Struthio camelus: one gene and its partners. The protein of the gene in region 1 purifies or fractionates together with the protein of each later gene. This does not show direct contact. Links are inferred from orthologs where the notes say so. Each region holds a gene or a part of one and is shown in the gene's direction. Other genes may lie near its edges. The genes, in order: METTL9, SLC30A1 and SLC39A10.

Region 1 (10,408 bases):
TAGCAGGACCAAACTAAGCACATATATATTGAATCCAAATCCACCTGCTTCGTAGTGTTGGATTGGCAGACTCGTTTGATGTGATGACAGTTGAAGTTAACTTCTGATTAAGGCAGTTGAAGTTAATTTCTGAATTATCCTTACCAAAATCTTTTCAGTCTTCATCTTTTACATAGATCCTGTGATTTTTATTTAAAAAAAAAAAAAGGTGTTTGACATTATTTTAGAAACATGGACTCCTCTCTTTATTTCACACATGCTATAATGATAAGATACATTAGCATGTTTACAATATTCCTGTTTAATAGATCATCTTTTTCCTCTAATATATCCAGTGTTAGATAATCCATATTGAGCAACAATGGTTTTCAAATTGTGTAATGATGAGACGTTGGGTATCTACCGCCTTAATTTTTTCTTTGTTTTGCCTGGTGAGACATAAGTTTAGGACCACCTCTCTTCCTGAGTGCCAGTTACTTGAAAGTACAAGAAGATGCACTTTACGTGTCTAGACTTTGGTTGACCCAGCTCATTTCTACGGCTCTACGTTTATCATCATCATAGATAATTTGGAAGAGAAAGGAATGTAAGAATTTGATGTGCGTTTTGGTGGACACTGGCCTAACTGAATTAAGAGGTGTGAGATTTGACATAGCAATCTTGGAAAAAATAGATATTCTTTTGTGCCTCAGTTTTTCCATTTGCAGAGTAGAAACAACTTTGTTGCCCCACTTTTTGTAACGTGCAAAGTGCTTTCCAATCTGTGAGTGAAAAAGTGGGATATTGTTGTTAAACATTACTGAGAAATCCAAACGAACCTTAGGATATGAAGATTTATGTTAAAATGTAAGAAGCCAGAAGTGTGATGAAGTTAAGTTGCATTTATCTGTTTTTTATCTCTGCTTTGCCAGAGATACCATTATTGATTTGCACCGTAGATGCTAATAACATTATGCACACATACAAGTGTCACATGTATTTACATATCCAAACAACATTTGCAAAAGTACTAGAACAGACATGGGCTGCATGTTTACGTTCTGTATTTTAAAAGATGCACTGTCTTGTCTATATGATTTTGCTGCCTGGTGACAGTGATCTATTTTTAAAAACCAATAGCATGATTTGATTGTTAGCTAGGAATCCCCGTCATTCTTATTGTTTTGTGGATGTGGTTACTGAAGGAGAAAAATCGGAAGGAATTTACATTAACCTAGACTTTGAGCCATTATATGAAACTGTTTTCTCCCTGACCACTCCTTTCAAGGTGGCCATAAATAATTTACAATAGTTTTATTTTTATTTAGTTTCTCTGACAGTATTTCCCAATTTTCACGTGTTTATCCTTTTTCCTACAGAATATATATTTTCTGCTAGGAGAAAATGTTATTGCTTCATAAATACGGTGTTTCTTAGATGACTGCATTTATTAGTTTGTTCTAATAGAAAGTTACTAGAATACAGCGTTCAACCAGGAAAGTACCGTGCTATACAACAGGAAAGCTAATAAGCGACTTTAACAATCAAAAACATACCAAGAAGTCTTTGAAACGGTCAGAATCAATTTATCTGGAAAATGTTTGGTAAAGCTACCGTTTTATTTGATCAAGTAAAGGCTGAAGGCATAGCTTGAATAGTCTCTTTAAACTGCTGTATCTTCAGAATTAAGATAGGAGAAGTAAAGAGTCAAAAATTTTTAAATGAGACTGCCTTAAAAATGGGGAATTAACTGTGCAGAATAACTGTGTTGAGCAAAGAAAACCTAGAAATACAATGCGAATAATTTAACAGGTAAAATAGTAGTTAAATCTACAAATGACTAAAGTATACTAATCTCCCTTTGTCTGTCCTATTTCTCTTGCTAAGAGGACAAGAAAAAAGCACCTTTCATCACAGCAAGGGTCAAACCAAAAGGGAGCTGGCAAACTGGTTAAATTCAGGCCGTAGTCTTAATCCAAGAATTAGCAATAGAAGATTGACAGTACGCTATGATTGACATCGCTTATTCTCCATTTCTCTGCCATCCACTAAACTTTGTTATCCTTTATTAAACCTACATGATTGTTTTTGGCCATGAATCAAGTAAATGATGATCAAATGCGAAAGTACAGTGTCTTGCAGCAGCTGGTTTGTCTGCCTTCACTCCCCATTAGCTAACAGTATCTGAGCTTGAAGTCTTCCTGCTGGAAAAATGCCACAATTTAATCTTGATAATTTAAGAGTGTCTAAAATAGCCTCATAATTGACAGAGAAGATTTAGATGTGTATAATATGAAACAGAAACATTATGATAACTTCACGGAGTTAGAAGCTTGATGCTTGAATCCCATTACTTCATAGAGTTTCCGTACAGGTTCTCAGAATTTAGATCTTAATACACTGAATGAATCTTATTTATTGGAAGTCAATAGGTAAAGGTGTCTGTTGGATTTAAAAGGATGTTATATAATAGACACGACAGAATGCTAGTCTAATCATAAAGTAGTAATATAATATGTGGTTAGTGATGGAGTGAAAACAGATCGAATAAAGGACAACAAAAGTATCGAATTTTAAGTAGGAAAGAATTAGATTTATATTTTGTGGAGGTTACAGTCCTGTCTCTGTTCTCTTCTTGTACAAAATGACCTTCCCAGTCTCCTGCTGTGCTGATTTTGGAACTGCTCAGTAATTCATGAATAATGCTATGTTGACATGGTTAGTAGGATGTTTACATTTGAATATAGTTGTATAGCTTAATGGGGGCTGTCAGGAAAGACAAAGCAGGAAGGGAAAGGAACAGTTAAGATAAGCCACATCTCCACAAATACTTAGGAGCTCTTTCTTACAGTATTATGTCAGCTCAGGAAAAAGCTTAATAACACATGCAATGAAAAAAAATTCTAGCAGATTTTATAAAGGAACATAGAGCTGAGACTGGGGGAGCTGTCAGGCGTTGTCTGAGAGAGCTGGATGATCGAACCCACAGGCACCAGGAGGCATGGGTGAAGAAAATGGGCTTCCTAGGTTACTTTGGGAAAGGGGATTTTAGGTAAGGTATCTGTGTTTGTTTAACTTAAAGCCCTCTTTCTGGTAATCATTTTCTTACTACTACTTAAATAACAAAAGCAAAGGTTGTTTTATTGCTCTGCTTGATTGGGAAGACTGCAGATTTACATCCTAGAATACATGAAGCTGTGGAGCTAGCTAGCTTGTGGAGCTGTGTGAATCCTGCTCCAGAAGACAAGGTTCCCTGTGATCACCACAAAGCGCACGCAATCGTCTTAAAAACACTCCTTTATAGGTAAGTATTCAAACCTTTGGATATGTTTTGGACCTTTTGGACCCTTGGTATTAAATAAAATATAGAATTTTCCCAACATGAAGAAGAGGTATCTAAAAAAATGAGGAGAAACAAGGAAGAAATACGATTATATTTTTTTTCTGCAAATCCTCCCCCAACCGTGCTAATTGCTTTGAATGATATATGCATACATTTATACAAAGAACAGTTTTCTGAGATTGTCCAACAATTGATACAGGTTATAATTCCATCAGCATATGTGCAAATGACAGTGCATCAAAATTATTGCCTAAATGTGCATGAATAGTACATTTTTTATAGCTTGTCAAGAGAAAAAATATGCTTAGTATACAACTACCAGAGTAGAATATTAATGACCAATGTAATACAGAGTAGGAACTTTGGAACATCTCATTAAAACATACCCAGGTTGTATAATAACAATACAGAGATGAAAACTAGCATATTTCTTAATTTATTCAGTATGCAACTCATTATCTGTATATTTCTTGTGATAACATTAAGATACATTTCCTTGTGAACCACATGCAACTAACCAGAGGCAATTTTATTTAGTGGTTTACACGTTGCAAGCAGATGTCTGTTTAAAAAGCAGCAAATTTTGCTTTGTCATTTTCAATTTTGATTATAAAGCTGTTTTATCCCGGGGGGGAAAATAAGCTAATCTGTCTTTACAAACAAGAAGATACATAGAAAGGAAAGTCCTGATCCTAAACCAAATAAGTAGTAGTAGACCGAAAAGGCATCTTGCCCGTCTAGCTAGTGGAGAAAAATGAATCTTTGTCTGGAAAAGTGTCCAAAGCTCTCACATCAAAAACTCTCCTTAAGGAGGCTGAACATCAGTGAAAATAAACTGAACAGAAAAAATCCTCTGGCAGTATTTTGTCGTTGCTCTGGTTTTCTTATTTCCCAAGCTAACCAAGGTTGGATTTTATTAGTGCTTGATCAGAGGATCTTCCCGGTAGAAGTCAGGATCCTTGTGGTGGTTTGACTTTGTGTCATCCTTACCAGGAAAATAAGGGGCTAGGCTCCAGCCTTTCAAATCTGATCAAAAGGAAAGATGCCAATTGCTTGTGTTCATTAGGAAAAAAATGTCTGAGAGACTAGAGACGATAGCCCTGATGCCGTACTCAGCTGGAATTTGATTAATGAGATGGGCTTTGTCTAGGTTTTCTTTCTTTCAGTTGGATGTGGTATTCCTCACTTTCCGTGCTACTACCATGAGTAACCTGCGTTTATTAGAGAGTAATTGGGCACAGTGATATAAAACCTAACCCAAACCCACAGAAACTAATGCTCTTGTCCTAACAAAGGCATAAGCTACTGTATTAAATGCCAGAAGGCTTTTATCCAGCTTGACCTGTCCCAGATTAAGATGTTTTGATAAGCGTTGTCTGTTCCAGGCTGTTCTGCCGGGGGTATTAGCTGCATTCAGCACGCGTTTTCCTCCGCTGGTCTCCGCTGTGCCCCCACGCTCCCAGGCACACAACCACGCGGGAGCCTGACTCTCAAGTTCCCGTTTTCCTACCTACGCACTGACTTCTCCTTCCTCTGCATGGATACCCCACCGCTTCAGGAAGACGTTCAGGAACCAAGCTGACCTCAGATCCGTCTGCTCTAAACACTAACTGTGCTCCTGCCGCAGAACCAAGGCTGCAAATTTGAGAGACCTTTTTAGGTCAAAACATTGCAAGAATCCCACGCTAGCAGCAACGGTTTGCTTCGAGCCATTGCAAAATAGTTACAAGAAAAAAATGCAGTGTTTGAGGACTTGAAGCCAGATTTCGTATCAAAAGACGTGTAGGCTTCCATTTGTACGCAGAAGCGCCTGTCAAAGAGCCGACTCCGTAACGACCAATTTATCTTTAAGCGCTTATGTTTGGGGCTGTGCACACATCTCGACGCCTCAGTGCTGGCCGACCTTAGTGCTGCGCCTACCAGAAGAAGGGAATGGAAACAAAACAACAGGTAAAGCACCGCTTCCATCCATACTACTGCAGCGGCCAGGCGTTTCTCAAACTGAGGCCCTAATCCCAACGCTTTACACCTTAATGAGGGCAACGAGGGGCAGAAAGCCCAGCGCGCCAGGCGCTGGGGGAAACCGCCGCTCCCCAACGGCGCGCCGCCCTAGGCGGCAGCTCGTCCTCCCTTGGAAACTCCCCCCCCCCCCCCCCGGTTAAAGGAAAGCGGGAGCGGGCGCCCCGGGGAGGCCGCGCCGTTTGGGCTCTTCCGCCCCGAGGAGGCGACGCGCCGCAGAGCGGCCGCGCTGGGGCCGCCCGGGCCTCGTGTGGCGACGGCGCCGCCTCGCGCCCCTCCCCCACCCCCGCTCTGCGCAGGCGCGGGAGGAGAGGAGAGGGGAGGGCGGCACGCGCCCGCCAGCCGCCGCCCGGGCGACGGGGCGGGGCGGCGCCGAGCACGTGCGCGGCAGGGGGGCGGCCGGCGCCCGCCTCCGCTGAGGGGAGGAGCGCGCGCGCGCCGCTCCTGCCGGCGATGCCCGGAGGGGAGGGACGAGCCGCCGCCGCTGCCGCCATTGTACCCCGCTCCGGTTTGAAAGCGGCGGCCCCTGCCGCGCCGCGGCCCCGCCCGCGCTGTGATTGGCGAGCCAGAGGGAGGCAGCCGGCGCGTGCCAGGCCCCCGGCGTGTCGCAGCCGAGCCGTCCGGGCGGCCCGCGCTGCCGCGGCGCCCCGCGTTCCGCCCCGCGCCTGTGCGCGGGCCCCGAAGGGGAGCCGGGCCGGGCCGAGCCGAGCGCGGCGGGTCGCGTGCTGCTGGCGCCGCCGCCGCCGCCGCCATGGCGAGGGGAGGCGGCGGCAGCGGGAGGGGGTGACCGCGCGCCCCTGCCCCCCTCATGAGACTGTGGCTGGGCTGGCTGGGCTGCTACACGCTGCTGCTGTGGGCGCTGCGGAGGAGGATGTGGTCTGGCCCCGCCAGGTACCTGCGGAGCCCTTTATCCAGGTCCCTCTACGCCAACATGATGGGCAGCCACAGCCCGCCGGCGCCGGGCACCAGCGAGAGCCACCAGGTACCAGCGGGGGCGGCGGCCGGGGGCCGGGCGGGCTCCTGAGGCGGCGGCGGCGGCGGCGGGGCGGGCAGCGCCAGACAAAGGGAGGGTCCCGCTGCGCCCGCCCCGCCGCCGAGCCGGGGGTGCGCCGGGGGCCGCGGCGGCGGCGGAGCCCCCCCTCCCGGCGGGGCGAGCCCGGCGGCCGCGGCTGCGAGCCGGGTGTCAAACCCGGCCGGCGAGAGCGGCGGCAGCACCCGCCCCTGGCGGTCCCGTGTCGTGTCCCCCCCCCGCGCCGGGAGCTGCCTGAGTAACCGGCGGCCGGAGGACGCGCAGGTGGCGGGGGCGGGGTGGGGCCGCAGCCGCGTTTGGGTTCGTACCGGGGCGTCTGGAGACAAACAGCCCGAAACAGCGGCGAGGAGGGAAGCTGCAAAGCCGGCCGAGGCCTTGAACTGCCGGTAGCGGAAGGCGAGCTGGAAACGGAGGTGGCGATGTGATCCGGCGGCGAGAAAGGGCGAGCGGAGCTGTTGGGCGGCGCAGGCGGCGAGCAGCACCGCCCGCGGGGCCCTGGGGCCCGGCCCGGCCCCGGTGCTGGGACGCGCTCGGGCCCGGGCTGCGCTCCTGAAAACCCGGCGGCGCTTGAGAAGCGCTGGTCATGACCGCTGCAGCGCCGAAGGAAGGGGCTGACTTATTCTAAGGAAAATCCGCATAGCCCAGCTAACGAAGAAGACGTAACCCGAAATACTCGAGGGATGCTGACAAAAGGAAGGACGTGATTATACGCTGTAACTCTTCGAGCTGATGCGTTACTGTTTTAGCTTTGTTAGTGCTCAAGGTGGGTGCTAACACCGGGGATCTTGCTGCTGAGCGAATAGATTACTGCTGTTTGGATCGTTCGGTACGTAAAGGGGAGGATGGAAGCAGAATTTAGCTTTCCAGCGCAAACTTTCTTCCTGCGAACAAAGAAAACGTGCAGTTCTTTTCTGTTGTTAAAAACTGTACTAGAAAGACGAGGAGATAAGAACACGGGCCACGGAGGTGATTATTTCATTCACAGGTAGATAGATGGTCTGCAGTGGATAGTCTCCATCTCTAATGTATAGGATCTGGGTTTTAAACTTCAAGTATTGATTGTTTAGTGAGTTCTTAAAGATCGGTTACCGAGTTTGTGGGGTTACCCTCAGAAGTAAGGGTTGCATGTTGACCCGCAGGTACTTTCACTCTCTGAAGTTTTACTGAGTTCCTCAGTTTTACATTAGTTAACGGAAATGGTATTTTCTTCCTTTCATTAATATTAGGCAAGAGTTGCCAATAATAATTTTTATTATAACAAAGGTCTTCACAAATTTCTCTTCAGATTTCTTTGATGCGCTGTAGTATTTCTACTATTGTGCTATACCAGATTGGTACAGATTGATGTTGTGAGACTAGTGGCCTGAAAAGGGCTCCTTGCATTTTGGACAAGGAGAAAAACAAAAGGAATTTCTGTTTTGAGGAAGTAGTTCCAGAACGAAGCTTTCTTTCCTTACTTTTGTTATTTGAAATTTGTATTGTTTTTATCCTGGGCACTTTTTGCTTATAGTTTCCTGATATTTCTAATACTCACTAGCGTTATATCGGCAGTTATAAACGTTTTAACCGATAACCTTATGCAAGGTAAGCTTTAACTATGAAGAAGGAGGAGGAGGGCTATGAGCAATCCCTAATTTCTGGAAATATGCTTCCCTTCTCAAAGGGGCTCCTCTTCTCAAAGTTGCCACCATCATCATTCTTCCAGTGGTTATATCAATATATATCAATATTTGGAAATCTTGAAGACAAAAGACTGTTGGTTTCCATGGCTTCCATGGCTGGATCCTGGAACTACAGATGATGAGATTCAGTGCAGAACCAAGGTTTATGAATAAGCTCAGGGACAGCACATACGTAGTCACGTTACTTACGGATCAAAGCCCGTGATTCCCAAACTTCTGATGCTTTATACACCACCTTCTGGATTGAAAATGGCAGCGCAAGGTAGATGTTCTGAGCCACTCCAAGCCTGTGCAGTGCAGCTAGGCAGCAGCCTCATGAACAGCTGCTGAACCTGACCCATATCCCAGCCTGCTCCTCAGCTCCCTGGGATTGTTCACTTCTGCCAGACTTTTGAAATTGGTTTCCAGAGCTGGATGGACAAAACATGCAGGCTGCTGCTTTGGTGCTTTTTCACAATTCGCTGACAATTCCTTTTGGGAATCACTGGTCTGTGCTGGTTCACTCACTTCATACTGTGCTGCCGCGAGAGAAGACCCAAACTGGTAAATGGGCTGTCATGGGGATCCTTGTGCCATGCTGCGTCGTGTGATACAGACTTGCTCAAAGTCTAGTTTTTAGAGGGATGGATCATCTACTCGTGCTACCTACAAATGCTGTTGGGAAGCACTGTTTGAGAGCCCAGTTCTGCAGGGAGGTACGCAACGTGCAAGTTTTCGAAATAGACCTGTGCAGGCATATATTTGCTCCCTTGGCTGAAGGGTATGGAAATACCTTGTTACTTTGGGGTCTGTGTCTGATGGAGCTGCTGTTTATCAATCTGGCACAATGATCTTGTTGCAGCTGTCTACTCCCCTCTGTTTGTTGGCACTGTTACTGTGAAGCAGCAGGATACTGGAATACGAATCCTGTACTGTTGTTATTTGTATTACAGTAGTGACCAGCAGTCCCATTGTGCTGAACATGGTGTAAACATGCATTAAGTGACTTCCTCTCCCAACAAGTAACAACAAGCTTTTGTTTGTTTGTTTAATATTGGGCAGTTACCCCAGCTGACCTCTTGCTCTCCTTCCAGATGCATTTTTATAGGATTCTATTAAAACTCTCCACTCCTCCTTAAGATACAGCTCTCTACCTGTATGGTGAATACATGCAACCAGGGTAGAGAACGTTCTTGCAAGATCTGAGGGGAAGATAGCAGAAGAGGGCTTTGGCTATAGGCAGCAATTCTTGGTAATAGGAAACAAACACAATGGCATTAGAGATTCTACAAGAAGAGCTGTCAGTAACTCTGTGCATAAGCGTGGGAGACACTGAAATAGAATAGTGACATTCTTAATTAAAATTATAATTAAACAGTTGTAGCACACACCTGTTGAGTTGAGGGGAATTATTAAGTCTGACATTACAGACTAGCAGTGAGCAGCCTTTTGACTGTTTTGAATCAGTGCTGGCCTTCTAACATCGCAGTATTTCTGTAGGGCTGTCTTGTTTTGCACACGTTTCTTAAATTTAAAATGATGTAAACACAGTAAGTGTTAAAGGAGGAGTTTAGCAATGGCTTACACACAAATAACAAAATGTTAGGATGTGGTTTGGTTTATTTTACTTTTCCAGATAGATTTGATAGGAAAAAGTACCACCCTTTTTCTTCAGAATTAGCTGAATAATAACTTGCGTATCAGAGCGAGTTTGTAGTTCGTATTGGAGTAGTTGTTACCAGGTGACACAAGGTGAAAGGAACCACTAGTCCGTTTTAACTTGTCTACCCTTAGAAAAGTATAGTGCTGCCTTCCGACTGATCCTGATGACTTCTTGGATGATGTGGGAAGCTTCCTGTTCATGCAGCTTCCTCACATCATCTCTACTAAACAGATAATGGTTTCGAATGACTTGTGAATGTGCTTGTTGGCACTAGTCTGTGAGGAAGTGTTGTCCATCAGCCATACAAGACAGACAAGCAGTTGCTTAAAGTGTTGATTGGATTCCTCATCTCCTTTCCTGGAAAAATACTGCAAACACACCGTCCTGGTTTCTTTTCAGAGGATGCCTAGTGAAAAGCTGAGAGTGAGTTGGAAGACAGAAAACAGTGTTACCCACTTCCACTACCCTGTTTTACCAGAGTGGTGCTATTCTGTAGTGGACCTGTGTTTGCTTTCTAGGAAAGCTGCTCTGTAAAATTCTTCAAAGTACAGGGTAATAGTTAAGGCAAAAATTAAAAGTATTGTTTCTTAGTAATTGGACTTTGTTTGATTACAGCTCACATCTAATGTAAATAGATCTTAAAGTTTATTTAAAAATCTTTAGGAAAAACTGAATTTTGATATTTATAGAACAGCTTGATACTAGCCCTCTGA
Region 2 (10,224 bases), on another chromosome or scaffold:
TTCATCTGCTTTGCAAGGTTCAGAAGAAAAATAATGAGATATCCTAACACACTCAACTTGTTTGGCATTCTGGTATTGACCTCCAAAGACCCCAAATTTCCCAGACATAGTAACTAGGTGGAAAAAGAAATACCTTTACAGAGCAAGACACTCTTCACTTCTTATCTTTATGCCAATTACAGCAATAGTCTTTCTTCATAGGCCGCAAGTGAAAGCATTTAAGCACACGTTTAACTCTGTCCCTGTTCAAAGGCCTTTTAATTGACTGCAAACACACGTTTAAGTCCTTTCCTTGATAAATCTGCTTTCCTTAATCAGGATATAACACTGAATTTGACATGGAGCTATGTGAATAATAGTATTCACTTTTCATTTGTATTGTTTTCCATTGCAAGAAATAAACTTGTTTGTTTAGATAAGTGTACAGTGAACCTTTTTTTTGTCTTTGGTGTCGCTGGCTGGATCTAATTTGAAGAAACCTTGTAAGGACAGCTAACAGAGAGAGACGTTGCCCGCAAGAAACACAACCGAAAATGAACACTGACAGCCTTGAAGCGGAACAGGCAGAGGGAGTCATGCTTGCCAGTCCCACAAGCCTTTGTTAAAAAGCAGGGACAGGTCTGATGACTGCACAGAAAGGGAACAAGTTAGGTGTTAAAAGGAGGCAGTGTGCTCCGTGATATGTGACTGCGCAGGGGTTTATAGACGGCGTTTCACCTTTTCCGAGCGGAAAAGGCACATAGCCATGAAGTGCCCTTTGTGGCTGAGCTCTCTCCACTTACAAATTTGCACAGAAATTCAAAGGAAAAAGAAGTGACTTTGTTTACTCAGCAAACATGCTGAGTAACAGTGAATCTCCCAACCAAAGTCCCATTCTTCCCACAGCGCTCAGCTGACTTAGTCGGGAGTTCAGGAGCACTCAGGGCGGAATGTTTTCTGCAGAGCAGGCAATGAGATGAAGCTCTGTCTAGCCTTTTCCCACCTTGCCATCCAGTTCTGGGGCAGTACGAAGGTGCACATGGGAGGTTCAGAGTTGCTTCTCCCCTCAGAACACATTTTCAATAAGCAAATACATTTGGAAGCTGCTTATTCCACATGCGTGGACTGGAAGGTGAACCGAGAGACGAACTGGGTGAGTCACAAACAGTGCCTGGAAGCCTTAAGAAAAAAAAAAAAAAAAGCGGAGCCCTCCCTGCTTTGAAGACATAGCATTCTTCTCAAATACTTAAGCAGGAACAAAATGTTCTCCTGTAAGCACACTGCCTTATGGCTTGCTTTGGGTAAAGACTTGATTGATAAAGGTGACCTTTATCAGTCACTTTCCTATTAGACCTACAATTTAAAAGGTTGCCACATGGACAGTCCTAAATTTAGGAACCGTCCCTGTTCCTGTTGGTTGCTAATGTATGGTAACACAATAGAAAAGCCTGGGAAGAACAGTGTAGCGCACTCTAGTTTATGAGAAAGACTCCAGGGCGAAGGTAGGGATGCGAGCTCATGTCTGCTCCAGCTGCCGGTCTGTGCCTGACATCCAGGAGCGGCACTCTGGGCAGTGGCACACGTCGGGGATTACAGGTACCCAAGTCTCTTTACTTGAAGGGAACCAAGATAACGGAGGGGCTGGGTCCACCGGGATCCCCTGAGACAAAGCTGCACGCCCAGCCCTGCTCATCAGGGAGCAGAAGGCCTGAGGATACGTTGTCACCTCCTGCCTGGGAAGGATTCATGGCCTCCCACTCCCTTGAGGTGTATAGTCCATGTCTTGTGGCTTTTGGTCCCCGGAGGATTTCAGAATTCAGCCTGGTGGAGGGTGGAGGAGGAGGAAGACAGGCAGGCTATCCCTGGGCAAGGGCAGAACATGCCATCTTGTAAGGAGAAGATGGCAGCAAATTGTGCGCTCGTATGGTATGCTCGAGTGGATTAGGAGGACTTGTGGTGAAGAGATGTTAAAGGGATTACAAACCGATCTGGATATTGTTACTATATAAGAAATGATACAAAAAAAAGTCATAACCCCCTTCCTATAAGTCAGGCAAAACTCTTCATGAAGTTTGTGTTCAATGTTGATTAAGTTCTATTGGTAAGGATGGTACTGCTTTATTGCTATCCTATATCTCTGAGGTAGAGACCCGGTACTTCCAGTCGTTAGGAAGACTGTAACGACATCACTGGGGCAACCAACTAACAGTTTCAGTAATCCCCGAAGTCCAGCACGTGAGAGACATCAGACTTTGAAATTCCTTGTTCTTCCCACTTCCCTAGTTAAATTCCATTGGCTCAACACTGAATCCCTGTAAAATGATAACCCTCCCTACCTGCAGGAATTTTAAAGGGCTTGAGCTGCAGTAGTTTTCTTGACCTATATTTCCTAAATTCTGATAATCCTTCCTTATTAACTAATGGCGTCTTGTGGGGGCGAGAAGGACAGAACATGGGCATGTTCCATTTTAGTATAATTGATGGTCAGCTTCCTGACTACAAATAACATCTTATTAAATGGTATTAGGGCATACGGGAAGAGAGGTACATGAAAAGAACGTTATATATAGTTATATCTAATTACTGCCTCTCTTACCAGTACTGTTTACGGTGGTCATTAAAGCATTCCATATGGTTTCCTACAGCTGAACAACTGAAAACATTTGACATATAAACAGTCTCACAGAAAATGGGGTTCAGGGCCATAGGTCAGCACTGTGGCAACTGTAGTGCCTAAGCTGTGTGTATGTTGTAAAGACTATGACACTGCAGAGTAAGGGGAGAGGAGGAAATGGCATGCAAGGATGAGAGCAACAAGGGAGACAGATGTGGATTCAGTAGGAGTCTGCTGAGTGTAGCGGAAGCCAATCCTGAGCTACAGATTTCAGTTATGCTTGTTGATAATCTGTTCTTGTGGAAGTGTCAACGCCTCCCGCCACTTAACTAATGAGATGAAACTAGCTTTCCAGCTCCAGCCGCCAGGGACCTTTGTATAGACCCTAAATCATGGTCCCTTCCGAAACTCCAAGCATAGCAAGAGGCTTTTGTGTTCTCGTTACATCTTCTTTGTGGAGCATCATAGTTTTCACATTGCCTCCATATACTCATACATACAGCTACAGCTGTACAGCTACAAATAGCTACGGCAGTTTGTTTCCTCTCGCTTCATTTTCCATTTATGGAACGCCCTTGGACAATTTCTTGCTACCTTGTTGGTTGGCCCCGTGGAACACGGTAGATAAAGTAAGATGTCATCGCTGGAGCTCATCTGGACCCTTCCCATTCAATGTGCTGCTCAGCTCACTGCAGTGGGCTGAGGCACACAAGTCCTAAGCCCTGCTCAAACAAACTAAAAACAGAAAAACAAATTCATGAAAAGATGTAAAATGATGAACTTGCTGCCATTTCAAGGATATGAAACAGAAGTTCTTGGTACGTTTTTCTTACATTTTTGTGATTTTTTTCTAGATGTTTCAAAATATTTGTTTAAACATCTGTTTCCCCTTTTCTCTCATTTTTAATTGCAACACATTCAATAAAATGAATAGTATCTAGGGACTTATCTGTTAGTGTGTGTGTGTGTATATATATATATATATATATATATATATACATTTTTTTTGTGACATTACAGCCTTTCAAAACTTCCTCAAGAAAAATTACTTCCTTCTTCTCTCCACATTTTTAACCATAAATGATTACTCATTAATTATTATTTCCTCACCACTCATTCTATTGCTTTCTGTGGCAAAAAAAGAGAAAAATTGGATGTTTACCATGCAGAGGGTAGGAGCATCCAGGATGCTCAGGAATGATGATATCAAAACACTGATTAAATTTGTATTAGTTGTTGACTTATACCACATACAGGAATGAGTGAAGTAATTAGATGCCACTTCTTGATATTTGCTACTCCCAGTCATATGTTTTAAAAATCTTAATAACACTTATCCAACAGTTTAGAACTCTGTACAGGGAAGAAGCAACTAATGGAGATGGAAGACCACGTGTCCGTACCCCAGAACAGAGATGTACTCACCACTCAGTGATGACAGTGCCTGGCTGGTGATTTTCAGGCTGGGGCGGGTGCAATAAAGTGTGAGGGGGCATAGGAAAGATCACAGATTAACAAGAATAACGTATGTAATGCATTCAACATAACTTTGCTGCTGCGTGAGCAATCGAATTAACAGCCAGTTGCAAGAAACATCATCCTGCCTCAGCTGCCTCCCGGAAAACCACCTTTCTTTCTGCCCAGTGGGAGCCACTGCAGAAACTCCTGGGCGCTCAGGCTGCTGGAGGCGAACGATGAAACACAGGGGCACCACGGCACCTGTCACCGCACCGCTCTCGCCTTCTGCTTTGCTTTCACTGACAGCTCCAAAACTTCAGGCTAGCAACGGAGTCTTTCACTTGGCTGCACGGTGGTGCCGGGGAGCGGGGAAAGGGGCTGTTGCATTTGTGGGAGTTAGACGTAAGCGTAACACTACTTTCTTCCCAACTCATGGCGAGCGTAACGTTTCAGCGACGCCCGCTCACAGGACGGGGCGGACCGCGGGGGTCAGAAGAGCCCGGCGCCGAGGTGTGGCTAGGGGAAGGACGGCGGGGGGGCCTTGGACGAGAGCTGGGCTGCGAGCGATAGCCGCGGGGCTGGACGTACCGCTGTGAAGCCTGTGGCAGCTGTTAAACGGGAGCAGGGATTTGGCCGGGTTGGGGATGGGTGCTGCTCGACTGCCGGTTGCGAGCAGGCGGGGGGGGAGGTGGGAGGTGCAGAGGGGCCGTGGCCGGGTTGCAGCCTTCCCCGGTGCCTTGGGACCGGCGAGGAAGGCGCTGCTCCTTCTCGCGTTTGTCGTCCGACAGAACGAAAAAAAGCTCAGCTGGGAGGAGGGGCTTCAGCGGCTCGCGGGGAGGGGGCAGCCTGAAGGCACCGGCGGACGAGGGGCCGGCGGCCAGAGCCCGCGCCGACAGAGAGCCGGTCGGTGCCGGAGGGGCCGGCTGGCCGCGGCGCCGGGGCTCCCGCACCGGCCCGGGCCGCAGAGCCGGCCGCCGCCACCCCCGGGTCCCGGCCGCCCCCGGGCAGCCGTTGCTGCCCGCAACGGCCCCGCGTGACGTCACAAAGGCCCCCCACCCCGCCTCGCGTGGCTCGCCGCAATGGAACGGAATGGAGCGGAGCCCCCCCTCCCCTCCCCTCCCTCCGCCCGGCGCGGCCCGCCCGCAGGCGAGCCCCGCCCCCCCGCGCGCGCCGGGCCGGGGCCGTGTGAAGCGCACCTTTTGCACGAGTCCCGCTCGCCGCGGGAGGGGAGGGAGGGGGGAAGAGAAGCCGACCGGCTCTGCCAACCGCAGCCCGCTCTGCGGCTACGTCACGCGCAGCCCCGCCCCCCCTCGCCCCGGCCCCGCCCAGCGCCGTGGTGCGGCCGCGGCCAACGGGCGGCGCTGGGGGGCGGGGGCCGGCCGTCGCGAGGGCGAGCGGGCCAATGGCGGGAGAGGCGGGGGGCGGGGGCGGGCCGGCGCCGCCGGGCGGGGGGGGCGGCGGCCAATGGGGCGCGGGCGGGGGGGCGTGGCCGTGCCGGCTCGGGTTCCGTGTGGAAAGAGTGAGGGGGCTCGGGTGCAAAGTTTGCTCGCCGAGCGGCTGCGGAGGGAGCGGCGGCGGCCGGGCCGCCGGGGGCGGGGAGGGGGCCGCGCGCGCGCTCGGGGCTCCGCCGCCGCGCCCAGGGACCGTTGGCCGCGCCAACCGCCGGCGGCGGCGGCTCCTCGCTCTCCTCGCGCCTGCTCCGCTCCGCGCCGCGCCGGCGGCCGCTGCCCCGCCGCGATGTGCGGGGGGATGGCGGCGAAGGGGCCGGGCGGGCCGCGGTGGTGGCAGAACCGGCGGGCCCGGCTGCTGTGCATGCTGGCGCTCACCTTCCTCTTCTTCGTGGTGGAGGTGGTGGTGAGCCGGGTCACGTCGTCGCTGGCCATGCTCTCCGACTCCTTCCACATGCTCTCCGATGTCATGGCCCTGGTCGTGGCGCTGGTGGCCGTGCGCTTCGCCCAGCGCACCCGCGCCACCAAGAAGAACACCTTCGGGTGGGTGCGGGCCGAGGTGATGGGCGCCCTCGTCAACGCCGTCTTCCTCACCGCCCTCTGCTTCACCATCCTGCTGGAGGCCATCGAGCGCTTCACGGAGCCCCACGAGATCCAGCAGCCGCTCGTGGTCATCGGCGTGGGGGTGGCAGGACTCATCATCAACCTGCTGGGGCTCTGCCTCTTCAACCACCACGGAGTCGGGGGCCACGGCCACGGCCACGGGCACTCGCACAGCGGCAGGCAGCACCCTCGCGGCGGCCCCAAGCCCGAGCAGCCGCCTGCGGACGGGGATGCTGCCCTGCACCGGGAGGAGACCAGCACCTTGGTGGAGAACTGCAGCAGCTCCAACGGAGTCAGCCAGGAGAAGCTAGGTAAGCCCTGTGGCACCTCTGCCCCCTCCCATTCCGCCCAGCATAGACGTGTCGGGAAAAGGGGAGAGGTCTTTTCCCCAAGGAAAGTGGTGGGCACCCCACTGCCACCTGACACAGGCTTCGTGGGAACCATCTCCTTGCTAGTAGGGGAGAGGCAAGAAAGTTTCTTGTCGGTGCTCTGGGGCTCACGATAGTTGCACCTCTACGCATTTTCTGCAAGCGCCACAAAGCCCGCCTTAAATTGTGTCCTCGTCTTGTAGACAGGGCAGCATGCAGAGGAGTCTTAGGATAACCCAGTGTGCCCTGGGAAAAGTTGATGCTGGTGGAGAAGGCGCATGACAAATGTTTCTGCCTAGCAACACAAGCTGTCACAAGACATTGCCCTAATGCCTTCTGAACTGGCTGTACATCAAATAGAGTACAGCTCAACACCTTGGTCCTGACAGTCAGATATCTCTTGAGTTGGTTATTAGCTACCTGAGAAATGTTCTCACTTTGAAGTGAAGTATACATATTGAAGTATTTTCCATTATAACAGTGTTGTGCTTCTTCAGGATAAGCTTATTAGTAGGAAGAAATCTTGGAAATGTGAGTCAGAACTGTGGAAGTCATATAATAGGTGCTGAATGTGGAGCTTGCTGGTTTCAAAGTGCAGGCATGTTTCTTTGAGTTAGTTTTCCTTTAGCTCCCTACTGCGTGCAGCTTCCCTCTCACTTGCGTGCATACATAAACTTAAAATGTCCCCAGTTCTGATCATGCTGTCTCTTCTGTGGGAGGGAATTTCTTTCATTATTTTTTAATGACTCCAAAGGCCTGGACAGTTTATTCTGAAGTCACTTGGTCAAAGCCAAGTGCTGCCTACTAGCCGAGTGAAAGGTATGTAATTACCAGTTCCCTACTTTAATCATATGACAACCCCGTTACAGCATGGAAAGGGTTTCAGTGCCCATGTTTCTCCCTTATGTTCAGGGTGATATCAGGAGACCATTGTTTTAGATTAAATTGAGCTTACTTGTACAGAGTGAACTTTGATACAGTTTTGGTATTTCTGTGGTCAGAGGCTCCATTACACATTTGAGAAACTTAGAAGTTTCTCTCTCTCTCTCCTCTCTCTGTCTTTTCTTTAGTATTTTGGCTCCATGTTGCTTTTGAAAAGTCAGATATTGAAAGAGGATAGGAAAGTTCTCCTGAATACATTACACCATTTTTCTGACTGCATAATAAGCCTCTTAATACTGTGTCGGTCGCAAGGTAGGTATCCTAATAATTAGTTTCAAACAATGTAAAATTCATTTGGCCATTAATCTAATTGATATCTAAAGTCGTGCATTGTCCTTGCATAGTGAAACCTGAGTTGTGCTTTTAGCTAAATTTTTGACTAGTTCTCTGTTAAAAGATTGAATTCTAGTATGGATTAAAGTATACATTGTGTTCGGCTAACTTCTCTGCAGTTTCTCAGGAATATAGTTCTGGCAATAGAGAATAATTTGCTGTGGGTATTTAGTATGTAATAGGACATAGTTTTGGTCATGTGTTAAATTTTCAAATAAGTGTGTATGTCCTCTAGGCCATGTCATGATTATGTTATGGATTGAGTTATTCATGGTTAACCTGTGAAAATGTTACAGGTGCTTGAAGTCTTAGGCTGTAAGATGTGTGAGTGAAGACTAGGGAAATGACTGACAGTAGCATTATGCCTTCATTGGAAATTACAAATGGGGGTAAGCCCCGTTTTCTTAAGGTTGAAGTGGAAATGGAATGATAGCCTGGGGGCTAGTACTGTGCAGGTAATCTTTATGCACACACTTTCTATAAAGTAATCAGTTTATAGTTAAATTAAAATGAGACATATTTCAAATTGACGGATTTTAACCAGTTGCCATTAAAAAAAAATCTCAAGAGCTTCCTGGAACTGTATTTCCTGTCATCCACCCCTTATGGATAGGTCTACTGACTTTCCGAATCTGCTTTGATCCAAGCACTTGGTACACTGCACAGTGTCAGAAAAGGTCGTCTTTGTTCTCATTGTGAAGCCAGAGGTCTGAACTCTGTAACCTCAGATATCTTCCTCTAATTTATTGACTTCTACTGGAAAGTTACAGGTTCTAGTGATATTTCCATATTCCATAACTTCTGGAGGTTGTATGGAAAATGTAGCTGGAGCTTTAGGACTGAAGTGTGATATACGGCGTAATGAATCTTGGGCTTGGAACGTTTCCGTTCAGCCTTCTTTGTTGTGAACCCACCTCCTCCTTAAATAAGAAACAACTTGTAGACGCTTTTATGATTACAGAACCATAGCCATGATAGCGGAGTGGCAAAAGCTATAGGTCATACTAACATGTTAATGTTTACAAAGCTCTAAAGTGAATAACCCTGACTGCAGTAAGAAGTCCTTGTTTCAGTTTTTAAGGCCAGTAGCCAGTTCCCATTAGATTTCTTTAACACTGCAAGTTTTCTGTCCAAAGAAGAACTTCTGAAGAAAAGTTAGAGGTTAATTGTGTAAAATACTTTCAGTTACTAAGGTTGGAAAATATTTTTCTTTGAAGAGTTTGACAGTGCCTCTTTGAGGTGATGTGTGCATTTATTCCTCTGTAACTAGTTAGATGTGATAGAGTGGTGGTATCAAAGACACTTTTGACAAAGAAGGGTACTGCCATGTATGTTTGTGCATTACATGGTTCATGACACGTGGTTTTGGACATGAACACCTGTATGTCACTTTAAAAAAAAGTATTTTAAAGCAAGTACCAAAAATACATCTGCTTGTGTATTCTGATCTATAAAGAATACTCGTTCATGGCCTTTGACGACTTCGGAGATTGTACTGTATTTCAGATTTGTATTGTCCCATAGTCAATGCTATTGATAAATCTTGCATTTTAGATCTAAAAGCTTAGCTCAGTGCATCAGTTCTGCTGGTTGCATGCCCCATCTCAGAAAAGCTTCCTTATACTTGAATTCAGAAGTCTTTTGAAAATGAATCCCCTAAACCTGAAGAGAAGTGACTGTGAAGTATCCATACAGCTTTTGAACTTCTCGCCTCATAAATTTTAATATAAAATGGAAATGCACTCCTATGGCTTAAGAGAGATTTTAGCAACGTGATTATCCTTCTGGCTTTTCAAAAGGGGGAACAAATAAATCATAAGTTACTTAGCTACTTATCCAGCTTGTATAAGCTCTGTAATTCTGCATTCTGTTTAAGGAATGAACAGTAATTAATCAATTGCTTAAACAGCTGGAAAACGTGAAACCAGTTTTCAGTAAAATAAACTAAAATGCATTCATCTTCATACTTTGCCACTATACATTTTTTAAGCTCCCTATAGAAACCATTACCCTCTAGAATATCTCGATCATTTATTGGGACAACTGAATATTTCTCAGCCAGAGAAAATGTTGCTAAGTGTTGGGGGCCGAGTTGCTTGTTTTCTAGTTCTGTATCGAATATGGCAAACATATATTGATTATTATTCTATATGGAATTGCAGTAATGTTGTGTAGTGCTCTAGCACGTGTCTAATCATTTTCCTGTTTTCTTGTCAGGGGATATGAAAGACGACATGGCTGACCTACAAGTTAATGGGAATGCTGGTCATTACTCTCTGGATGTAGAGGAGGTTGAAGAAGACTCTAGTGCGCAGCTTAACATGCGTGGAGTTTTTCTGCATGTTTTTGGAGATGCCTTAGGTTCAGTAATTGTGGTGGTGAATGCCTTGCTCTTTTATAGTTTGTGGAATCCATGCCCCAGAGATGGGCCCTGCATTAATCCATGTGTCAATAGCCATTGCATGGAAAATGCTACTTT
Region 3 (10,294 bases), on another chromosome or scaffold:
GGGTGTATGTGTATGTTTTTGTAGGAGAGGAGAGGTAAGAACTGTTCGTTTTTTTTAAAAAAAAAAAAAAAAAAAAGGATGCATTTTCGTTTTTTGTCCTATCTTATGAGTAAAAAGCTTTCAACCAATACTTTTTATTGGTGCAAAGCCAACCAAATCTACTTTGAATTATCATTGGAATTTATACAGCTGAAACCAATTAGAACTTAGTAAACAAATTTGCTAAGGAAAGGCTAGAACAAGATCACCCAGTTTAACAGGAGTGTGTGAAAAGCATGTATAGCCTCTCCTGAAAGTGTTGTTTTTATATAGTTCCTTGGAGTAACTAAATCTGACCTTTACAGTCACTGCAAACAAGCCAAATAGTTCTGAGGCAGTGCAATGCCTGAGAACAAATCACTGTCTCTTTCTAAGCAGGAGTTTTAATTGCAGAATCATTATTTGCTTGTAGTGATGCTTAAAATCACCCTGATGCATAAGCACTCTCACTTAGGACCCTGCCAGGACCACAGATTTCTGGCTTCGATACCCTCTGGTTTTATAAGAGGACACAGAGAGGATGAATACATATCAAACTACTATACTTGATATCGAAAGTAGAAGTAAATATGTACAGTAAAATTAACCGCATATGCTTCTATTGTACATCATCAGTAAGCTCAAAGACGGAGAGAGAGGTGGTCAATGGGGCATATTTTGAGATCCAGATTAGGAAATTATGTAATGAGGAAGGAAGATGGCTTCTGTACGGTTCCCTGATATTTCACTTCAGCAGTGAAGTATTCTCGTTGCCGTATTTCTGAGTGAAACCTCTTGTGGTAAAGCTGGCTCACTCCTGGGGAAATTGCTAAAATCTTGGTGCTTGGCAGGTGAGTGTTGACAAGAACTGTGCCTAGGTAGCCATGTTGCTCCATCTCCCCAAGGTTAATTCTGCCGTTTGTTATCCCCATGAAATTCTTTAGCACGTCGATTAATACTTACAGATCATTGTTAAATAAGAAATAATAGATCTGACTTTGACTGTGCTTCTCAGAAGGAATGAAAGGCTACTACAGAAGCTAGAAGAACATACGTGACAGGTGAAAAACACAAAACTAGGTCAGCTGGCAATTGAACCACTCTCATTTCTGATGAAATCTCTGGGGCAAAACTTAGGGGTTCTAATGATTCTGAATAGAGAAGGAAGTTCATTTGGGGGCTATCATCTTGGCTTTTTCTTGAACCATCAGTATTTCAAAAGTAAGAAAAAGAAGTTGGGCACTTCAGCCAAAGAAGTTCTATTTGCCAGAGACTTGTACTTTTAGGGGTACAAAATTTGATATTTGGCAGCGAATTATAACATTTTGCTCCCAGCTATTTAGCAGAAGCTGGGTCAACACCTTCAACTACTAGCTTCCTAAGTAAATTTCTCTTGGGTAAAATCTTTTTCAACCTTATTGTTCCTAATTCCCCAAAGAAGTCACAAGATTCTTCCTTCTGCTTACAGTCAGATGCAGTATCGGGATATAAATAAACCCCAATGAAAAGAATTAATAACTGGATGTAAGAGGAAGCAAAGTCTAAATTTTACTTTTTTAAATTTGATAGGGAGTAAAAACTTGCTTCTCAGTAAGCTGGTTGTGCATGTGTATATACATATGTACATATGTATAATTCACACACACACATATATATATAAAAATAGCATGTGTGTATCTCAACCTTGTATCCCTCACCTGCCACGAGATTGTTACAAAGGGAGAAACCTTTGTAGCACAACGCTGTGTCCTGTCTTTTCCTTTATCACCTTCTGTGCCAGACACAGCTGGCGGACTTACACTGTAGTCTGCTAACCAAATGCATCAGGTCCACGGGTACTGGAAAGGGAAAAAGGTCATCGCACTGCACTGTAGCTGGAGATGTGCCTCTAGACAGCACCCCATCCCAGGAAGGAACCCGGGTAGAGGCCGCCTTCTGCTTTTGCAGCATTTTACTGCAAACTCTTCCACATTACCTGTTAGGATATATAGCCGTCCTGTGACTCAGTGTATGAGCGTACCTTGCAGGCAGTGCTACTCAACAAGTACAGCCTTGTGAGATGAAAGGAGAAAAAAGAGAGTTCTGTTCTAAAAGCATAGTAACATGTCATTCTAGTTGATGCTTGAATGCTGAAAGCTTAATCTGGATCGGTTACACCCGTTTGTGTTGCCTCAAGATACCAGCGCTCTGTCAGGGCTGGCTACAAGTTTTCTGGCTACAGGTTTTCCCGGGACATGGAAGGTTGTTTTACGTGCTTTGCAGGGAAGCATGCTTTTCAATTGCATGCTTTGGTAATTGTAATGCCTGATTTAATAGCTTTTGTTCTTAGTTTGTAAACATGGGGTAAACGTACTCTTTTTTTTTTTTTTTTTTTAAAGTGTTGACGTACAGGCAGTTCTTATACTAAAATATACGGTTGAAACTACGTAGCAGTGACCTTGACTGCAAGATATGACATCGTAGAACTACAGGGAAAAGATTCTAGATTGAGGCAGGCTTTTGCACATATCAATAAAAGGCTGTAACAAGCACTTTAATCAAAAAAGCTATTGCCAGACAAACTCAAAATACAAATGAAACTCCTGTTCCTTAACAAGTAAGGAGATAGAAGTTTTGGATTCCCCACCATGTAGTATATGAACGCCACCTTCTTGGAAGGTAAGGTTCCACGAGTTACTGACGCGGTACAAGTACAGTGAAATGAAATGTCCTGTGACAAATGGGAATCAAGATCAGTTGTACCAATAGTCCCTTCTGGCTTTAAAATACATAATGTTGGAGTTAGTATATGACAGCTGAAGAGGAGTACCTCTCCAGCATAGAGAAGCCACTAGTACAAAGATACTTTATTGGTACACCTTCTTCAGGTGAAACTCTGGAAGTAGCTATGTGATATCACCACCTTCACAGTAAGGCAAAATTGCCTTCACACAGGCTTCCTTACCTACTTCCCTAAATGTTTCTTTAAGTCCTCTAAAGGCAGTAAAACTGGTACAAAATGAGTGCTAAATCAATCTTGAAACTTTAATAGACCTTTTGGTACTGAATGTGTTGATTTCAATTCATGAGTTAAAATGTTCTTTCTTACTGGAGTGCTTAATTTTGCTTTTTATGTAATTTTTGCTTTATCTACATTTTAACAAGAAGCGCTACCAAACCCATTAAGCTGTGTTTTACTGTTATGTACTGTGCACTCTAATAATAAATTCTAATGTATGTAGGGAAAAGATACACAAATGTATTTTACATTCTTTGCGTTCAGTGGATTTCTTTCTAAAGCAAGCAACAACAGAAATCAAATCAAGCCTAGTGATAAACAGTCGGTATTGTGATAGGTGTCCCGCGAACCGCGTCAGAATCAGATCTGTATTGTGTTTGCTGTACAAAAGTTCTGATAGATAAAGGACTTGCTTTCAGCCAGAAATCATTCAAATCAACACGCGTGTGATTTCGGCGCAGCTTTCTCGTACAGCACCTCATAATCGTTTTAGGAATGCCTAAAACTCGGACTGAGCAGTGGTGGTTAAATTTTTGGACCAGTATGATTTGTAGTCTAGTGTTTAATATGGGAAGATACTTGGAAAAATTGAGGGGGTAAATGATAACTTTTTTTCCCTCTTCTAAATACTAAGGAATGAAAAAGGTGTTATGTTGAAATTAGAAAGTCTGTCGCTAGGAAGGTCTGTCAGACACGAAACCGATGGCCAAAAGGGAAGTAACTGGAAAAGCTTAGTGAAGACTCAGCATTGCATACCAAAAGAATGGTGTAGTGTAAGGCACGAAGCTGATGGAGTCTTAGATCGAGAACTGATTGTGATAGCTCTGTGTGTCTTTCTCTGCCTGAATCTGTGGTATTACTTGCATTATAACAAATATTTACAGGCACGTTATTTTATTTGGGAAAATGCACTCTGGTTTTCTTCTGCACTGTGACTTCAGTTTTCTGCTTATATTTTTTTTATGGATATCAACATTCTTTTGGTTTCTAAATTAACACTATTAATCCTCTACGTTTTTAGTATTTTAAACTCTTACTGTATTTTAGGGATATGTCACTAAGCAGAAATTCACCTAATTATTTTGGGAGGCTGTTAGGGGTAGAATAATGGTGGAATAAGGTTTGCATTCAAATGGGACCATGAATAAAACTGGGCTCTGGCTCCGCCAGGCTGGGCGTGGGGTGGTGCAGGTGTGAGCCATGGTTTAACAGAGGGGCAAGTTTAGAGAGGATTACGTTTGTTAAGTCATTTGAGGTTCTAAAAGAAAATATGCATACTTCCTTTTAAAAAAAAGGAGGGGGAAGGGCTTGTTTGCTTATAGCCTGAGGTCTGGTATGGAAACTGGGTATTTTTTTGGAGAAGCTATGATGAAAATTGCATGCAGACTTCTCATAGATTTTATAACTTTTTTCCTGTGAAATGTGAAGAATTACCTTTCAATTGTTGAGCATACTTTCTAGAAAGAGCCATTACAAACCAAGCTAGTGTATTTTAAATGTGTTTGATGTGAAGAATTCCTGTAATATTGTAGGCCTGACGTTATAAACCAAAACGTCTATCAATCCTCAGCGTTGTTCTAGTGAACTTACAGTTTCTTACATAAAGTGTTAATTTTTCCCTTTTTTGAGTCCTACAGCTGTTAACACTTCATCTAGTACTCAAATATATTGTGATTAAGGATTCCATCTCAAAGAGGAGTTATACTGAGCACCTAGATAAACAAGTTGTACTTTTATTTCATGAGTAAACCTGACAGGCCGCTCTGGAGTTCTCTCAGGCATAATACGTACCTCACTCTCAGGTGCATCAGTGAGTATTAGAAAACCCAAACTATATCCGCGAAACACCTTTCTCTCTGTTCTCAGGTGTTCAGAAAAAAAAAATTAATGTATAGTCTTTAAAAAATTGCAGCCGGGACCACGCCGCCCCCGGGTTAAACTGCCCCGCTCTCGGGCAGAGGCACCCTGATGCCTCTCGTCGCCGCCATAGCTACGCCAACGGCACCGCGCCCCCCCCGCCCGCGGGTCCCGCCGCCCCCCGCCCGAGCCTCCCCGGCCCCGTTGGCCACCCTGCCGCACCGTCTTCCCTCCACGCAGATGGCGCAGGCACCGCGGCTGCCCAAAGCGGGGGCCCGGGCCTGCGCCCCCCTTGCCGCCCGCCCCGTGCGGGCCCGCCGGCCCGGCCACGCCGCCTGCCGCCGCCCCGATCGCTTGAGTGATGAGCGCAAGCGGCTGCGGGGGGGGGGGGGGGTTGGGGGGGGTGCTACGCCATTTTCGTAGGCCCTGGTGGAGCCGGGGAGGCGGGGGGAGGGGAGGAAATGGCTCCGCATTGGGTGAAGCGGGCTGCGGGGGCGCCCGTGTAGCCTGATCCGTACGGTGCGTAGGGGGCGAGCGTGGAGCGCGCTCCAGGGTTTGGCGTAAGCGTGGTTGGTGAATAGCGTATCGGCGGCGGCAGGAGCTGCAGGAGGAGGAGGAGGCGCCGTGGCGGTTTGGTACCGAGCGGAGAGGGAGATGCACACGGCACTCGAGTGAGGTAGCTATAAAACCCCATTTGTTTACATTCCCTCCCCCACAACCGGCCGGCGCTGCGGTGAGGGTGGCGGCCGGCCCCGGGCTGGCGGCGGGGGGCGGGGGGGAGGGGTTGCTGAAGAGGAGAAGGAGCCGGTGGCGGCCGGTAGTAACGGACACCTCCTCCTGCGGGATGCGGAGCGGCGTGTGGGGGACACAGCGGCGCGGCCGCCTCGTCACGTGGCGGCCGCGAGACCCACCGCGGGGCCGGGGGCTGCGCTCGCGGGCGCGGGGGGCCGTTGGGGGCGGCCGTTGCGGGGGAGGGGGGGGCGGCTGTGCCCGGTCCCGCTCCGAGGCAGCGGAGCACGAGGCGCCGCCGCGGCCCTGGCGCATCCCCCTTTCTTCCTCCTCCTCCTCCTCCTCCTCCTCCTCCTCCTCCTCTTGAGTCGACCATGCGGCAGGTAAAATCCTCCCCGCCCCCCTGCCCCGTAACGAGGGGACTAGGACGTGGCGGTGGCTGCGGGGCTGTAACTGCCCTCGCCGCTTTGGGCGGAGAGAGAAGGCGGGAGGGGGGGAAAGCGGCGGGATGCGGCGGTTGGTTGGGGGCGGGGGGCGCCGCCGGGCTCCCGCTGCGACCGGCGAGCGAGCAAGGCCCCTGCGTAGGGCGGCAGAGCCCCTCGCCGGCTTGGCTTTGTCGGGGCGGGGGGCGGGGGTGTCCCTGGGAGGCTTTTGTCGCCTCAGAGCGTCTTTGCACGTAGTGCTCCTTAGTGTTTGGTCTTTCATTTCCCTCTTCCACCCTTCCTGTGTTCCTCACTTCAATCCGGCAATGCCCCATCATTGTGCCGTCTCTTTGTGGCCACGTGGGGGCCCCGAGTTAAGGTACGAGGTGCCATCCCTTCCGTTTCGCAGAGGGTGCTTCAAAGAGCTGCGCACAAATGGTGCGCGGGAGGGGGATGTTGAATGACTGTCTTAGTGTTTAGGCCGTATTTGGGGCAATACGGCGGTTGCAGCTGATGAGCAAGCCCCACCATTACATCCTGCTTGGCTTGATGTTCCTAGTTAGCGTTACAACTGTAGAAATTGCACTCAGACCATAACGTGCTCGTAATCCAAAATAAGCAAAGGTAAGAGATCTAGGTCGAGAGACTTTGGTCGTGGGATGTAGTATACCGTACACAGATATCCTCTGGTCACAAGAAGTGGTAAAGGGTACGGAAAGCTAGAAAATTACTTGAGGAAGAAAAGGAGCAAAAAGAACAGCTGATTTGCTTTTCTCACCTATTTTTAATGCTTAAGATGAGTCTCTTGGAACCATTGCATACATGTGTTGAAACTGTTTAGAATAAAATTATTCTTTAAAGTTTTCAGTTATCTTTGTCTTTTTTTATTGGGGGTTGGAAGGCTTCTGTAGAAAATGTTATGTCTGCTATTTCTTAAACTCCTGCCTCTGTGATGTATCCTAAGTAGTTTCTGAGTTAGAAATAATTATCACTTCTGTCTCTGTAAGTACTTTGTGTGTAAGTAACAACCATCAGTTTTCCGTTAAGACAGCATGTCGTACCCTAATACAGAGGGAACCTGAGATACCTGAAACCTTACACAGCATTGAGAAATACACATTGGAAGGCCTGGTCAGTTTTCAGAAGCCTGGAAGTGATGGCTGTCTAGTTAAGGAAAGTTCCAACTCATACCTTCTGGTGCTTCTTTGGATAGTAAGTGTTGCAATGACTAACATTCAAATAGGAAAAAATTTTTGTACAGCTGTTTTGTACTTTTTTTATTCAAAAAAAAGTATTGCATTAGACTTTACAAAGGAAGTTTATTAAGTTCTGTTTTAAGGAGAACGCACTTTTTTAACTGAAACATGTGCTTTCCTTTCCCTTAGATGAATTAAGGAGCAGGTACTCAGTTTGGACTGTTGAGGCATATGGCTCCAATCTCAAAACAACACTTTCACTTAATGATTACTTCTTAGGTTGATATTCTGCACAGTATGAGAATAAGAAAATTCTGTGGAAAGCTTTGGGGTTTCTGAGAATTGTCAAAACCAATGTGATTTACACTTATTCTAACTATTTCTTTTATTCTAAAATAAATGTTATTAATAAAGCTGCTCATTTTAGTGTTTTCTGCAGTGATTCTTTTTAAACTGCTTTCATCACTTTCATATGATTTGAGGAAAAAATGCTGCAGCTAGGTACTCTATTTGGAAAAGAGGCTAAAGCGTGTATGTAGACTAGGAATAGTATATATTTTACAAGGATTAATTGTGGGGAATTCTGTAGGGGAACGTGCCTTAGTGTTCACAGAAAATAAGTGTAGAAGGATTGTACACAGTCACCTACCTGGAATATAAATAAATCCATAAAATGAAACTGTTATCGATTCGGCCATGTTTACCGACGACTGTTGTTTGTCGAGCATAGAAACATTATCAGAAACTCAAAATATCATGGCTCTCCTTTTAAAAAAAAAAAAAAAAAAAGAAAAAAAAAGAAGGAAGCAGGTTGTTACCAGATGTGTTTGACAATCACTGTTAAAAGTTATCTAAAGGTACATGGTGCATGAAAAATGGACAGTGAAACGCTGCATTTCTCCCCATCGGAAAACTTTCTCTGAAAAAATGAGGTTTGTTAATACTGTTTGTTTTCATGTGAGTCTTTCTGAACTTTCGAGGTTGGCTTAAAAAAAAGACAAAATCAGATACGTAGTTTGGAGTAAGTATCCACACAATCATAAAATGTGCAAATAGAAAAAAGTTACAGTTTAGAAAGTGGTGCAAATGCAATCACAGCCTTAGCTATCTTTTATTTGTTTCTCCCATTGCAATAAAAAATACGTAGTGAAAATAAATCATCTTGATAATTTAGGAATGTTCCAGAAAGCTTACTTTCAGTTAAAAAAGCATGGATCCTGATAATAACATTGATCTACTATTATGCTGGGAAGTGCTCGTTTTTAACTGGTAGTCTTGAACCAAGATTTAACTGACATACGTACAATACACACGCATCTCCTGGAACAACACAATATTTGTCTTCTAGAATTAGATCTTGAAAATTCTCTCAGCAAGAGAAAATTATTGAGTACTTAGGGTAGTTAGGTCTTATATATTAATAAACCCTTCCTTTTGAATTTTTACTGTGAAGCCATGCTAAAGGTATTTACATACACTTTTGTATAGTTTGACTTACATGAATTAAGATAAGTATACCCCCTTGGGGAAGTAAAGACGAATATATCCAGATTGGCATAGATTTCTTCTGTGATCTTTACTGAACAAGTCGAAAAACTGTAATTTAGATACTTCTATTCTTAATGTATAGCTGATACGGCTAGGAGCAAATCTATTACAGTTTTGCAGAAATTAAAGTTTTTTTAACGGTCTAATGGGTGCTTAAGAGAAATCAGTCAGGATTCGGAAGCAGTTCACTTTTTTTTTTTTTTTTTTCCTATCAATTGGAATTGCATACTTATTCATATTATACAGGTTGCTTAAAATTTGGTTATTGTCAAATGACTGCATCCTGCCTTTTTTGTTTAATCTCAGGAGATAGTTTGAAAGAAGCTCAGATAAATTGCAGTACTGACGTTTTCTTTGTATAGGCATGCTTTTCACAGAATTGAGCTTTAAGGACAAGAGTGAGTTCTGTGAGTTCTAGGAATTCGTGCCTTATTGGGAGTAACTTCTGTTCTCTGCTCCTGTTGTAAAGAAAATCAGTGTGATTTTTTTCCAATTTAATTTAGAGAGCAAACATTTAAAATACAATTTTAGTATATGAAGAGTATTCATCATTGGGAGTGGGCTGCTGAAGTTATCTTAAGTAAGAACTAGTATTTTTAGCTTGCTGATAGAGGCCTGAAGTAACACCTGGTGTGGAAAGAATTCAGGTTGTCTTTATAAATTTCATAGCTAGGCCATTCTTCAGTTGCAGCTGAGATGTTATTTAAAATATATTGAATAAAGTCTAATGAGGAAATGTGTGCCAATTAAGTGATAAAGTGAAGCTACAAAAAAACCACTTTTTTTTTTTTTTTTTAGTATCAGAAACTGATCAGAATGCTGAAAACACAATGTAGGCCAGGCATTATCCTTCTAAAGGAAAAAAAGATAAACCCTTTGTCAGTCCCCTTACTCAGAATGTTCTGTGTGCTACTGCATCAGTACTATTTCTCTAGGGTTTTTCGTGCAATATAAGCCCGGAGTGAAGGGGAAAGAGAATAACTGTTCCAGGTCACTTGCGTTTGGTTACCTCTTGTGATAATCCAAACCCCATGCAGATTTTAGTACTCAAAAGCTGGAGGCCAGCATGAAGGGCTGGGAAGATGGTGATTTCCTTGTCTGTCTCAAAAGCTTGTGAGAGGAAGGAATGTTGAAATTATTATATGAAGGGTGTTCTACCCATGCTGGGGAAGAGGGTTCATTATATTGGAGTTGTTTTTATCTGCTAGGTGTTGCATTGTGCTGCTTCATCCTTCATCTTTCCATTTTCTGACCTTTTTATCCCTCGCTGCAGAGGAGGAATGACTCAGCTGTTGTCTTTTCTCTCTCAGCTGCCTGATAACCTACAAGAGCTTCGTTCTTCTCTGGCTATAACTGTTTTACCTTTTCTATAGCTTGTTACTTTCCAGAGCAGTGTAAGATGAGAGTGATGAGAATCTCTTAGGTTTACTAATATGAAATTACACTGCTACTACAATTGATGAACCTAGTAGATAATTCATACTGTGTTATCTGTTGGAAAGCCTGAATGTAGATGTACTTGTATA

What was found.
Region 2: the proteins of METTL9 (region 1) and SLC30A1 purify together in Homo sapiens (co-immunoprecipitation; 3 studies listed by BioGRID and IntAct, with this or other methods). This does not show direct contact. The link is inferred for Struthio camelus from reciprocal best matches to the Homo sapiens genes METTL9 and SLC30A1.
Region 3: the proteins of METTL9 (region 1) and SLC39A10 purify together in Homo sapiens (co-immunoprecipitation; 3 studies listed by BioGRID and IntAct, with this or other methods). This does not show direct contact. The link is inferred for Struthio camelus from reciprocal best matches to the Homo sapiens genes METTL9 and SLC39A10.

Annotation. Positions count from the first base shown.
Region 1 is NC_090956.1:9,315,143-9,325,550, reverse strand, and holds the start of METTL9 (protein-L-histidine N-pros-methyltransferase), read left to right. Parts: upstream 1-6,031; 5' UTR 6,032-6,149; coding exon 6,150-6,323; intron 6,324-6,679; exon of another isoform or gene 6,680-6,940; intron 6,941-10,408. UniProt on the Homo sapiens protein: Protein-histidine N-methyltransferase that specifically catalyzes 1-methylhistidine (pros-methylhistidine) methylation of target proteins.
Region 2 is NC_090944.1:113,828,292-113,838,515, reverse strand, and holds the start of SLC30A1 (proton-coupled zinc antiporter SLC30A1), read left to right. Parts: upstream 1-5,687; 5' UTR 5,688-5,788; coding exon 5,789-6,413; intron 6,414-9,962; coding exon 9,963-10,224. UniProt on the Homo sapiens protein: Zinc ion:proton antiporter that could function at the plasma membrane mediating zinc efflux from cells against its electrochemical gradient protecting them from intracellular zinc accumulation and toxicity.
Region 3 is NC_090947.1:12,520,899-12,531,192, reverse strand, and holds the start of SLC39A10 (zinc transporter ZIP10), read left to right. Parts: upstream 1-5,821; 5' UTR 5,822-5,976; coding exon 5,977-5,985; intron 5,986-10,294. UniProt on the Homo sapiens protein: Zinc-influx transporter. When associated with SLC39A6, the heterodimer formed by SLC39A10 and SLC39A6 mediates cellular zinc uptake to trigger cells to undergo epithelial-to-mesenchymal transition (EMT).